2 linked regions of the Drosophila melanogaster genome follow. The protein of the gene in region 1 purifies or fractionates together with the protein of each later gene. This does not show direct contact. Each region holds a gene or a part of one and is shown on either strand. Other genes may lie near its edges. The genes, in order: Reph and wap.

What was found.
Region 2: the proteins of Reph (region 1) and wap purify together in Drosophila melanogaster (affinity purification with mass spectrometry, with the first as the bait; one large-scale study listed by BioGRID). This does not show direct contact.

What each region holds. Positions count from the first base shown.
Region 1 is NT_033779.5:3,804,037-3,809,697, forward strand, and holds Reph (regulator of eph expression), read left to right. Parts: upstream 1-1,645; 5' UTR 1,646-2,713; coding exon 2,714-2,785; intron 2,786-2,932; coding exon 2,933-3,020; intron 3,021-3,096; coding exon 3,097-3,425; intron 3,426-3,488; coding exon 3,489-4,205; 3' UTR 4,206-4,859; downstream 4,860-5,661.
Region 2 is NC_004354.4:22,450,849-22,457,434, reverse strand, and holds wap (wings apart), read left to right. Parts: upstream 1-2,012; 5' UTR 2,013-2,161; exon of another isoform or gene 2,162-2,375; 5' UTR 2,376-2,773; intron 2,774-2,848; 5' UTR 2,849-2,850; coding exon 2,851-3,041; intron 3,042-3,244; coding exon 3,245-3,704; intron 3,705-3,762; coding exon 3,763-3,944; intron 3,945-4,006; coding exon 4,007-4,205; 3' UTR 4,206-5,990; downstream 5,991-6,586. Other genes in the region: tilB (touch insensitive larva B), read right to left, coding at 6,008-6,125, 6,187-6,399, 6,572-6,586.

The sequences.
Region 1 (5,661 bases):
GACTCGTAGTAAAATTTTCCGCGTAAAATTGAAAGCAAATTGAAAAGCTCACGAGGGAGTTTGCAAATATAGTGGCAAAACTTAGAAGGAATAATAGCTTATTAAACATGTGTGTGCACAAGGCGAAAATCACATTTTCCTCATGAAACGAATGTAAGAAATCTAACCGTAAAATCTAAATGTTTGTATTTATTTTGTATCCTTTTTGAACAGGTATAATTTAATAATTTATTGTGCTTTCGGCTTTCCACACTTATCATATATTAGTTGAAACAAATTAAACAAATGTGGAATAAAGTTACATGACGTTTGTAAGAAACAATAAATTGAGAAAACTGCCTCGAGCAGCCGAAAAACCAGTTCGTGCGTAGTTTTCCATGTCATGTTTTCCCCATGTTTTCCACATTCGGTGTCGAAAAGCGAGCTCCAAACAATTTCCCATATCATCGTTGCAACTTTTTTGCCGTATTTCTTCACCTCCCCTTCGTTTACTTCTCTTCATTTACTTGCCTCTTCTTTTTGCTGCCACACGTTACTACTCATAGACATGAATATATAGGCATATAGTCATTGGAATAGGAACTTGCCCGCTCCAGCTGCTTCTTCTTTCGTCTATAAGTACCAAGGTGCGCGACAAAATTGTATGTTAAATTGTATGGAATGTTATCTGAAAAATCCGATTACATTTTTAAACGTTCCGTTGTCAGCTGATCTTGATCTTCTGTCTGCATTATGTATAAACCAAACCTAACAAAGGTGTGCAAAAAAAAAAGTCATAATGACTTAATGCTACTTAAACTTATACTTTCGTTCGGCATCTGTCCACCGATGTTGGAGGCACGAGTTGAGCGCGCATGTACAAAAGCACGCAGCGATACGTCAGCCCCCCTGCCCCCTCCATTTTCCATGAGCGCCCACACGGGCATCATCGCATCCACATCCAAAGTGTAGTAAGTGCACTTTGTGAGTGCGGCCAGGGTTGCCAGCGCTATTGCAAGCGCTATTTGAGCAATTGTTGGGTGGGAACGGGCGAGGAATTCAATGAATGGGAAAACAAGGTGCACACAAAAGAAAATCACCCGAAAGAAATTTGCAGGGAATGTTAATTTCGCGCAGTTAATTACTACACGCCGATTATCCACAATCAATTATAGTGCGCAACTTTTGCAATTAAACAAGTCTTACATTGTTGTGAAATAAGATAGGGGGTCGAATGCAGGTTAAAGTTTATTTAAATATGTAGTTGTTCTATGTTAGAAATTTAAATCACTGATTGAAGAGTTCTGGGGCCGGAGAAACATTCTCTAATCTTTTATTAATTCCCTTAAAATGTATCAAATATACGTTATGACATTTAATTATTTTAACAACCAATTTATATTATTCTCACTATTTTTGGTATAAAAAAGATTTGAGGTTCCAAAATAAAATAAAATTTAATTTAATTTAATTATGCTACTGAAGTCAATTCTATTGGATTTTCCAGCGTGCGTCTGGTAACCCTGAAATTGCAAGAGAATCGTGGGTTGCACGCAGTGGAGAATTGGCTTATGGCAAGGGGAATGCGGGTCTCCAGCGCCAGCGCAGAGATTTTGATTTTCAGAGACTTGGAGACACATTGCCACATTGTGGTCGCAATGGCTTTTCAGTTGGAGCGCAACGTTAGCCGGTGACGGGCGGTGGGCTGTAGCGAATATACCCGATATATACCCGATACACACAGTAACACCGTAGTAACCAGCAAAGTCAGCAGGCGTAGGCGGATCCAAAACAGTTGCACAACTGCATTTCGCTAGGAAATTCGAAAAACGCCGAAGAGCAGAACTTAAGCTAATGCCGCGCAGTGTTTGAAAACCAATTTCGATGGGTTAAAAGACATCAAGCAGCAAAGCTTAACCCTTTGGAGGTGCGGTGTGCCTGTTTATTATTTTTTTTTGCGGATTTCGCGTCGTCTGGTTGCCTTTCCCGTAGCCGTGCCAAAAAAATCGATAATTCCGTGCTGTATAAGTTACGGCGAAAGGTGCGCGGATATTCCGTTCGGGATTTGAGTTCGGTTCGGGTGATTTGAGGACCACAGCCAAGTGTGCGCGAAAGAGAGTGTGTGGAGCAAGAGATTTGCAAAAAATCACAATAAAACACTCGAAGTTGCAAATTCAAAGATCGAAACGGAGTTTTCATGAAAAATATAATAGCTTGTGATCAGTCCAGATATCGGAATATTTGGAAAATATGCTATAAAACTCGGAAAACAACTTCTTTAAAACAAGGAAACCGAAGAGAGAGGGCAGGAACTCTAACTCTCTCGCCGCTACCGTTACTCGTTGACTACGCATTTACAACCGAAGAGAGTGCGAGAGAACGTAAACGTGATTGAAATTTTTGCACAAAAGGGATGCACGACGAAGCAGCGCGTAAAAATAACAAACAAAAATACATGCGGAGGCGTATAAATAGAAACGGCGTGTAAAGCGCAACGGCACAAAAGTCGGTAGTATGTAGTAATAGTAGCGCGAACAGAAGGCGAAGGAGAAGCACAGGCACAAGGAAAAGCAGAAGAAGGAGAGGAATAGCGAATTCGACGTCGACTGCGGCGCCGACTGCGACTGCGGCGTCGTAGTAAGTTTTCTGCACTGTGTGTGTGCGCTGCGTGGGTGCATCGTTGTCATTGTGTGCGTGTGGCATGCGAAGTGAATAACAGCCAAAGTAGAAAATCATGATAAAGTTTGTCAGACAGAAAAATCGCGAAAATACACTGAGGGAATCGAAAAATTTTATGCGTAAAAAGGTGCGATTTCTAAATGAACATATAGTTTTAAGGACTTTATTTTAACATAGTTTAGATACACTAAGAATAGTTTGTTTTTTGTTGTATAAAGTGCGATTTATTAATTAATTATTAGTTTATTAATAAAATTAATTTATTCTTCCGCAGCGTGAATCGAATGACTCTGGCACCGAATCTGATGGTGAACTCCTCGATGTGGAAAACCAACGTCACTTAGACGTGGATATGGAAACTAGTAAGTGATCAAGATACTTTTAAAAACTACATACTACATCGGATATCCTAACTTTTTGGGTTTGTTATCCTGCCAGGTGTTGCTGGCCAAAAACCAATAGCTTCTGCAATGATGTGTCACCAGCAGACGTCGTCATCCTGCGCCCATCTCATGTACGACCAGCACAGTTCCGAGGAGGAGTTGGAGGTGATCAACGGGCCGTCCTCGCAGGCGGGTCAGCATCCCGGAACGGCGGCCACGGGCTCATCGTGTGCCTCCCGGATCTCGAATCGCGGATGCACCTCCTCGCTGGACACGGAGGCGCCCTACGAGGAGCGGGCCACCACCTCCAACTCGAAGCGTTCTAGCTCCACGCTGATGGTGGAGAACCGCAAGCGATCGCTGGCCCACAGCTCCGACGATGAGGTGGGTTCCGGTCAAACAGTATCAAAATCATTTAATCCAATCTATGATTGCAATCCGAAACAGTTGCGCAACTCGCTGGAGCCGATATTGACGCCCGTGAATTTTCGCACATCGCCGCCATTGGAGGCATTCAAGCCAAATCGTAGCCATATGATGTTCCGCTCCACAACGCCACTGATATTATCGGAGGCCCGATGTGGCATCGAAAATATTAAATTATGTGATAATAGTGTAAACGAGGAGAATGGTGACAACGGCGGTGGCGGTGGCGCGGCCAATAGCAGTAAGTGCGCCAAGATTGGCGCACTGGCAGGGAATGCCAGCGGAACTGTGGCCGCAACCGGAAACGGAAACGGCGGCAACGAGAATGAGCCGAGTGTGATCAAGGCGTGCAGCAGCTCGCTAAAGATGAGCAACAGCAGCCACCACATTTACCAGCCGCAGCCGAAATATAGTTTCCACTACAACAGCTCGCGGAGCAGTCCGGCCAGCACCACTGGCCTGGATATGGAGGTGCGTTCGGTCAGTCCGCCGGCGAAACTGTTCCACTGCGCCATATCGCCCAGGCGGCGACCCAGTAACAATGCCAGTGGTGCAGCCGGGGGCGCCACAACAATATCACCATCGTCAGCATCATCATCATCAGGCACAACAACGACACACAATGCTGCCAATTCCGCCGGAAATGCCGCTAACGTCACCGCCGTCGCCACCCAGAGACTGCAGCGACCGCATCGGCCGTGTTTAGATTTTGATAAGATGCAGCAGGTTAGTCTCTAATGCAGAGCACGCTAACACCAGAGCAGCAGCCGGAAAAGGATCGTCGTCGGATTGGGACGGGGAGCAGGATGGTCAACGGAACGGGGGGCAAATCAAAGACTTTTTATACGAACCAACAACCACAGCAGGACGCTGAAACTGAAACAGCATTCGGAGGATAACCAGAGTGTCTAGGGGCAGCTAGTAAAACCCCTAGATTATGCAAGCGAGCAGTTTCAGGATTCAGATTCAAGCGCAAACAGCAGCGGGAAATATCATCAAATCAAATTATATAAATCTAAAGGTAATTCAAATTTTAACGCAAACCAAAAAACACAAAAAAGAGACAAACCTAAAATTTACAATAGATGCAGCTATTTTTTCACAATTTTAAACTGAAAAACTGTAACAAAAACTGTAATGCGAACACGGATCGAAAGTTGAGGAGGACAAACAATAGATTTGTAGAAGCTCCGGGATGTAAAAGATCGAAAGTTGAGTCAAAATTGAGGGTTTAGAGACGGAAAATCATATGCCAGCCGTATGATAGAAAGGATCACAAGAATTGATTAAAAATATGTTCAAGGAAAAGCTCTGGGTGTAATGAATTAGATGATAAAAATCCAGCCAGTGGAAACTGTGAACTGTAAATATTGTATTTGTGTGGGAAAAACCAAAAAAAAAAAAAAAATCTTTTGAAGAATTGGCATGCCATCGATAGCAGAAAATGCGATATGGGGATGTAGAACGATAGAATGTATTTAAATTTTTTTAAAAGCCGACGAAAAACGTTTGTGCTGATGTGGCAGAAGACTCAAACTTGAAAAAAAAAAAACAGAGACAAATTATATTTCTATAAAACGAAGGAAAGCTGAGAAAAGCGGAAGCGGCTAGCGGGAAAGCGGGAAATTTGAAAGGTATGGACGATGAAATAGCAACAGCAACAATGTGAAGCAACAATAGCAACTGAAATAATATGATATAAACAGACAAACAGAACCTTTTGTATGATCAACGTGGGGGGGAGCCGGAAAACGAAACTGTCGCAGCGACAGTTGAAAAGCAGTAAAATTATGTGTTTAATGTACAACATAAAATAGCAAGCTATTTTATACACAATATTCAATTTATCCACATCTAAGAGAAACGATTTAAACCAAAAAGCTGCCATCAACACTCATGCATACGATTAAAGCTCTTTAGTTTAAACAATATGATTGATGATTGCTTGGTGGACAACTAGTAAGCGCAACAACTAAACAATTGGCAAATGTTTGCAAGCTCATATGTGTATTAGTAAAGCATAATTACTACCCTTCTTTGTCGCGTATATGAAGAATCTAACGAAAGAAACAAAAGAGATCACAGCAAGTTAAACCCATATTCAATTCAAGGAAAACCAAATGAAATGCAAAAACTAAGAACTAAAAAAAAAACCAGTAACGTGTGCAACCATAGCAAAGCAAAAGTAAACGAA
Region 2 (6,586 bases), on another chromosome or scaffold:
AGGCGAAACTGAAAAGAATGGAATTTTAGAAGGCCCTATTTATCAAATTAATTCGAATTCAAAACCTCATACTAATCGGACCATAATATTCTAACTTCTTTATCAAAAATATACCCAAAAGATTGGAAAATGCCCAGTGTAAATGATCTAATGAGGGAACATCTTTTAATCAAAACCACATTTTTATGACGGTACTTTTAGTAGTGCAAACAATTCTAAATTGTCAAGACCTTGTCCGTTTACATTTGATTCACTTATTGGAGAAATGAAGGCTTGCAGGCGCAAGGTTATCTTGAATTCTGCATAAGATAATGCGAAACCCTTCAAGCGGAACTCCTCGTCTTTCTTCCCCTTCCCACGATTGATTTTTCACAAGCGCAAAAAACACCCACGCACATCTCGGGAATTTGTGGCCTTCGATTTGTCCCTGATGAACAGTTAGGCGGAGAGTGGAAAACCGATCGACACTTGTTTACAATCGCAAAATAGTAATAAATAGAGAAAAGCCGTTTTCAAGTTTGCCATAACAACAACTTCAGTGTGACGCTGGCTGGCTGAACTGGGTAGGGGCGGTGTGGGACGCGGACGGCTGTCCTTATGCGGTAACACTTAAAATGAAGTTACGTTCGTGTGTGTGCCGCCAGGCTGTCTACGCTCCCATTCGAGAAAACCGTTGCTTTTACATACATACATGCACAAGTGTAAGGCTCTGCGGGTGGTGTAGTGCAGGGGGATGGGAGAAGCGGGTGGTAGGCCTTAACTAACATAAGATGGCCACACTTTCACGAATCGATCTTTCGTTCATAAAATGCTACAACTACACTACAGCCCATTCACACACATTCACTTAAAAAAATTGAATTATCCAAGCTCACACAATCGCACGCGAGTACCCACAGGTGTAGCTGAACTTTTTCAACGGTTACCACGATTAGCCGCTTTCTTTAGACACAAAACTCATACATTCTTTGCACGTCAAAATCGAAATAATTGTGATAAAAGCAAAAACAATATATAAAACGAAACGAAATGAGATTCTATTTTTAAAAGGTGCACTCACACACGCGCGTACGTTTGGCAGTGAAATGTGTGAGGGAGAGGGGGCGAGCCAGGGTAGTAGTAAAACAGTGCCGAGATTGTGCGCGCGAGCGATGTAGCACTATTGGCTACACGGTCACACACACACACACAGGCGCCAGGCAGCGTACGAATTACGCAAAGTGAAATATCTTTCTCAAAATGGAAAGTGGAAAAGTGACGACGACGGCTATTAGGAATTTTTCATACATCCACGGAACACAAAAAATGTACAAAGGCAAATGCGTATATAAAGTGTATAAATTCATACTAAGATAGAAAACAAATGGGCGAGGGGATGGGTGGCGAAGGTGAAAATTTGACCGCAAAACGAACATCACGAGGCGAACGAGGTCGCGCTGCCGAAAGTCCCGTCTCTTAATGATATCCCACAAATTTTAACGCCAGCCAAGCGACATCATCGTTTTGCACCGCAAAAGGGCCTTTTTCCGGTCGAATTAAAGCAATTTTTTTTTGCACAACACAGAACTCACTTTTTAATCCTATTTTTTTTGCTAGTGTGGCCGCACGCCGAAACGAAGTCACCGTCACTAGATTTTGAAGATAGGTTAACTGTTCTTCGATAACTATCGAAGAACTATGCCTGATGCATGTATGGTTGGTGTACTTGCTAACAGATGAGCAGAGGCCTTCTTAATGTTCCATTTACACAGAATTCCATCATATGGGATTTGAAAAATATGCTTCAAACTTAATAGTTTTTGCACAAAACGCCAATCGAATTATATTTCCAGTTCCAGGGAAAAGATTTCTGGGTGGAAATAAACACACAACTTTCAATTCTTAATTAGACTAAAGTCAAGCCTAGAATATTATATATTACAGTTCAATATAATTTAATACAGAATTTTGTTTTAAATAAATAGTATTTTGTTTATCTGGTATATAACAATGATTTTGCACAAGGTATTTCTTATAGCTATCTGCGCGGTCACACTGTTTTTGTGTGAAAATTCTGTCGAAAAGAATGTATTAAAAGTTCTTTGAATACTAATTCCGTGTAATTCCGACCGTGCTGTTTCAGAAAACTGTGGTTGGATTGGAAACTTAACCAAATTATAAGGTAAAACCGGGGCAGCTTGCCCATCGAAGGACCGCCACAAACGAATTTTCGCGTCGCATTACGTTTTAGTGTTGCCACCTTATACGGAGTGCCGGGCACAATTCCACTTGCTGGCCAAACGGATGCGTTGCGGTCGCGATGTGCACGCCGTTGAATTAATTCCTTCGCCCTGTTGATTGAGTACAGTTCGACTTCTCCGATCGGTGTCCTCCAGACCTAAATTTCGCCGGAATAACGACGGCAAACGGACGGACGGACTCTAGTCGGAAAACGGGCGAGCTGGCAATACTGCCAGTGCACAAAATGATGTGAATCTCGGAAAAGAGGAAAGCTACAGGAAAAGCCAAGGAAAAGCAAGCCGGTAAAGTGTGCAAATGCGAGTGGCAAGCAAAGACCTTTGTTTCCCATTCCATGAAGTTTTCTTGAGTTGTCCGCTGCTGTGAGTGGTCATTATCAGCCATCATCATCATTGTCGTCATCATCACCAAAGGAGCTCGTCGTCATTAGGCCGGCCACCAGCTAAACGGCATTGAGAAAACTCAGCAGCACCTTGTCATCCAAGTCTTGATCTTCGTCTTGGTCTGGATATCCGTATCCAATCACACAGTTCAGGTGGGTTCTTGATCCAGACTCCGAATTCGAATACGAGTCCTAGATTCTCATGCTGATCCTTTTCCATATCTACAGTTATGTCCTCGACCGCCGGAAAGCGCAAGGAGATCTACAAATATCTCGCGCCATGGCCACTGTACTCCATGAACTGGAGTGTAAGGCCGGACAAGCGATTCCGGCTCGCACTGGGCAGCTTCATCGAGGAGTACAACAACAAGGTACAGATCATCAGCCTGGACGAGGACACCAGCGAATTTAGTGCTAAGAGGTATACCGAATATTTGTTTAGCTGATCCCTTCTACTTTCTGTTTTCATTTTATATTTCGTATATTATCTTTAAAAAATAATATAAAATGATAAGCAGTTTTGATATTATTGTAATCATTTTAAATATGAATAGTTATTTGGTTATACGAACCATTTTTCCGAAATCCCCTTCCTCACTGACAGATTATTTCTTCTTCAAATAGCACCTTTGATCATCCATATCCGACAACCAAGATCATGTGGATCCCGGACTCCAAGGGTGTCTATCCGGATCTGTTGGCCACCAGTGGCGACTACTTGCGGGTGTGGCGTGCCGGGGAACCGGACACGCGGCTCGAGTGCGTACTGAATAACAACAAGAACAGCGACTTTTGCGCTCCCCTCACTTCGTTTGATTGGAACGAGGTGGATCCCAATCTGGTGGGAACCTCATCGATAGACACAACCTGCACTATCTGGGGACTGGAGACCGGACAGCCGCACGCTCGCGTCTATGTGGCAGGACACGTGAAGACGCAATTGATTGCCCATGACAAGGAAGTATACGACATTGCTTTTTCGCGGGCCGGCGGCGGTCGGGACATGTTTGCCTCGGTGGGAGCGGACGGGTCGGTGCGCATGTTTGATCTGCGGCACTTGGAGCACTCGACCATTATATATGAGGTAAGTAGAACGCGCGAAAACACAAAAACGGATGACTACATAACGATAAATCCAATAGGATCCTGCTCATACGGCGCTGCTGCGCTTGGCCTGGAACAAACAGGACCCGAACTACTTAGCCACCGTTGCCATGGACTCGTGCGAAGTAATAATTTTAGATGTTCGTGTTCCTTGTACACCCGTTGCAAGACTGAGCAATCACAGAGCGTGCGTCAACGGTATTGCGTGGGCGCCGCATAGGTGAGACTATAAGATTCCTTAAACCTAAAATGTGCCTAAACAATTTGTATTTTGGTTTGCAGTTCCTGTCACATCTGCACTGCCGGTGATGATCACCAAGCACTGATCTGGGATATACAACAAATGCCACGTGCAATCGAGGATCCAATTTTAGCCTATACAGCTGCCGAGGGCGAAGTCAATCAGATTCAGTGGGGTGCCACACAGCCCGACTGGATAGCCATTTGCTATAACAAAGCGTGCGAGATCCTGCGGGTCTAAGTAATTTTTTTTGGTCTGGTCCTTGCTGAAGCACCTGACTGCAATTGCTGAACAACGCACAGTCAACAAAGAAGCAAGTCAGAAAAACACACAACACCCACAAATAAACATACATTTGCTGTTGGTAACTTGGAAGCGGAAAGCAGTGAGCTTAAGTTGGATTAGTTCTGTCAACACGCGTCCGCAGTTTGTTTAATTTTACTGTCTGTCGAGAGAGAGAAAATGTGAAAGTGACGGATATAGAGGCAGAGAAATGGAAAGAGAAAGGGCTTAAAAGAAAGATATGAGTTTGAGGGAAAGAGAAGAGGACGAAGCACTTATTCTAGAATTCTTAGCTGAGTTGATCTAACAAGTATGTAATTATATAAGGTATAACCAAAATATGTTTTATAATTGTAGTTTATTTCACACTTGACAAATCCCGACACTCACACCCCCGAAAACTCCAATCAATTAGAGCCGCTTAATCTTTTTTATTTCGTTTTTATACGAACCCAAATGGAATGCAGAAGAAAAAGAAATCATATTTATTATAACACAATGTCCTACCTCGTTTTTTCAAACATGAATGCTGTTAATCGAGTTTTCGAGTCTGGTCAAAACAGCAACAACCACAAAAATACACAGAGAACAAAAAATGAGAGGTAAAAAAGTAGCCGGCAACAACGCTTTTTCGAAATATTTTTACTTTGTTCGATTTTTGTAACAGATCCAAAAAACGGAAAAACGACAAAAACAAGAGATAAAGAAAAACAAAAGCAAAACCATGGACTTAAGCAATTGCAAAACAAACATAATATGAAATGAATTAAAGAAATAAGCGAAATACTTACATAGATTAAAGATTAAAAACCAAACCAGGAAACTGATGACGAACTGCACACAACACAGCTAGAATACAATACTATTTAAAGATACAAACTAAAAGATAAAACAAATACCGAAATATATGAGCGAGAGAGAATACAAGATTGTTGCTATATCCATTTAACAAACGAGCGAAAATAAGCAAACAAACTATGATCATTTCAGATAAGACACGACCCTCCATCAATAATCTCAAATCTTAACCACATCCCATACTTTCCACAGGACAAAGCGACTTTTTCAGATAAAATCGAATACATTTTTTTTATGTATCTTGTAATTTATAGCAATTTCACAACTTATATATAAATATGTATACAGAAAGCGATAGCAGTAATAATAATCCCGATGATCGTGTATTGTAAATACAGCATGAAAGGCATATTTTAAACGAAAACCAACTTAGGCCCTGATTTTGTATAGCCATTTAAGAGGCCACTTCACGGGAATTTATATCCTCATATCCGAATACTTTTTCGTTTGCTGCAGAAGAGTAAGAAACTGAAATCAAGTCTATGGAATTTGGAATTGGATATATTTTATACGCTCGTAGCCACTAGGCGAAGACATTTTCATTAATTTGGCAAACCACGGTTTCCGTAAAAAAAATAATCGAAAAAAAACCAAGTTAGAATATAATTTTTAATTTAATCTTTATTTTCGTGTGCCCTGTTTTGCATTATCCGACTTACGTTACATTTATATATGAAATGTATATGTACACAAACACACACACACACACACACACACACTCAAGCGCATATATATATGAGCATCCGATCGGGCTAAAGTATTTACTAGAAAGCTAATGATTGATCGATGGAATGGATGGATCACAAAAACCAAACAAAACAAAAGATCACTGAGGAGTTTGAGAAAACAAACCAAATCAGACAAATATTTAAATAAACCATTTTTAAATAATGAACACAGTCTCAAATTAAATCGGGAAGATCTTCGGGTGCACAAATGTTGCTGATGTCCACTACTCCTCCGTGAAACGCTTCCTCCGGTTTCCCATCTTTTTTTCCTGCATCAAAAGGGGCGGCAGGGCTACATGAAAAGGTAGCTAGGATTTGTGGTTCATGATATACAATGAACTGGATGAACTTACCTTTTAGTCGGGCTTTTCTTGGCTATCAGCAGCTCGTTAACTTTTAGCTTCTTAAGATTGACCACAAGGTGACCTGTAATCTGGGAACGCTGCACAGTGGACTCATCCGGCTTGACCTCCTCGCTGTACGCGATCTGGAAGATCTTTTTTTTGACGGTGACTCTAGTGTATGTGGTCTGCACATCGACGTCAATTAGAGAGGTATCCAGGTGTCTGGGCGAAGGAATATACATATGCAATATTAATTAAGAATTTTGAAGTGTATGTATATGATTGGGGCGTAGAAACGATCAAGCAATACCAATATCGATATACATATGTAATATGTTGGTGATAACTTGTAAGATATGTATAAGTTTGGTTAAGACATCTTAGCCTAGCTTACCTGTACACCTCCAGT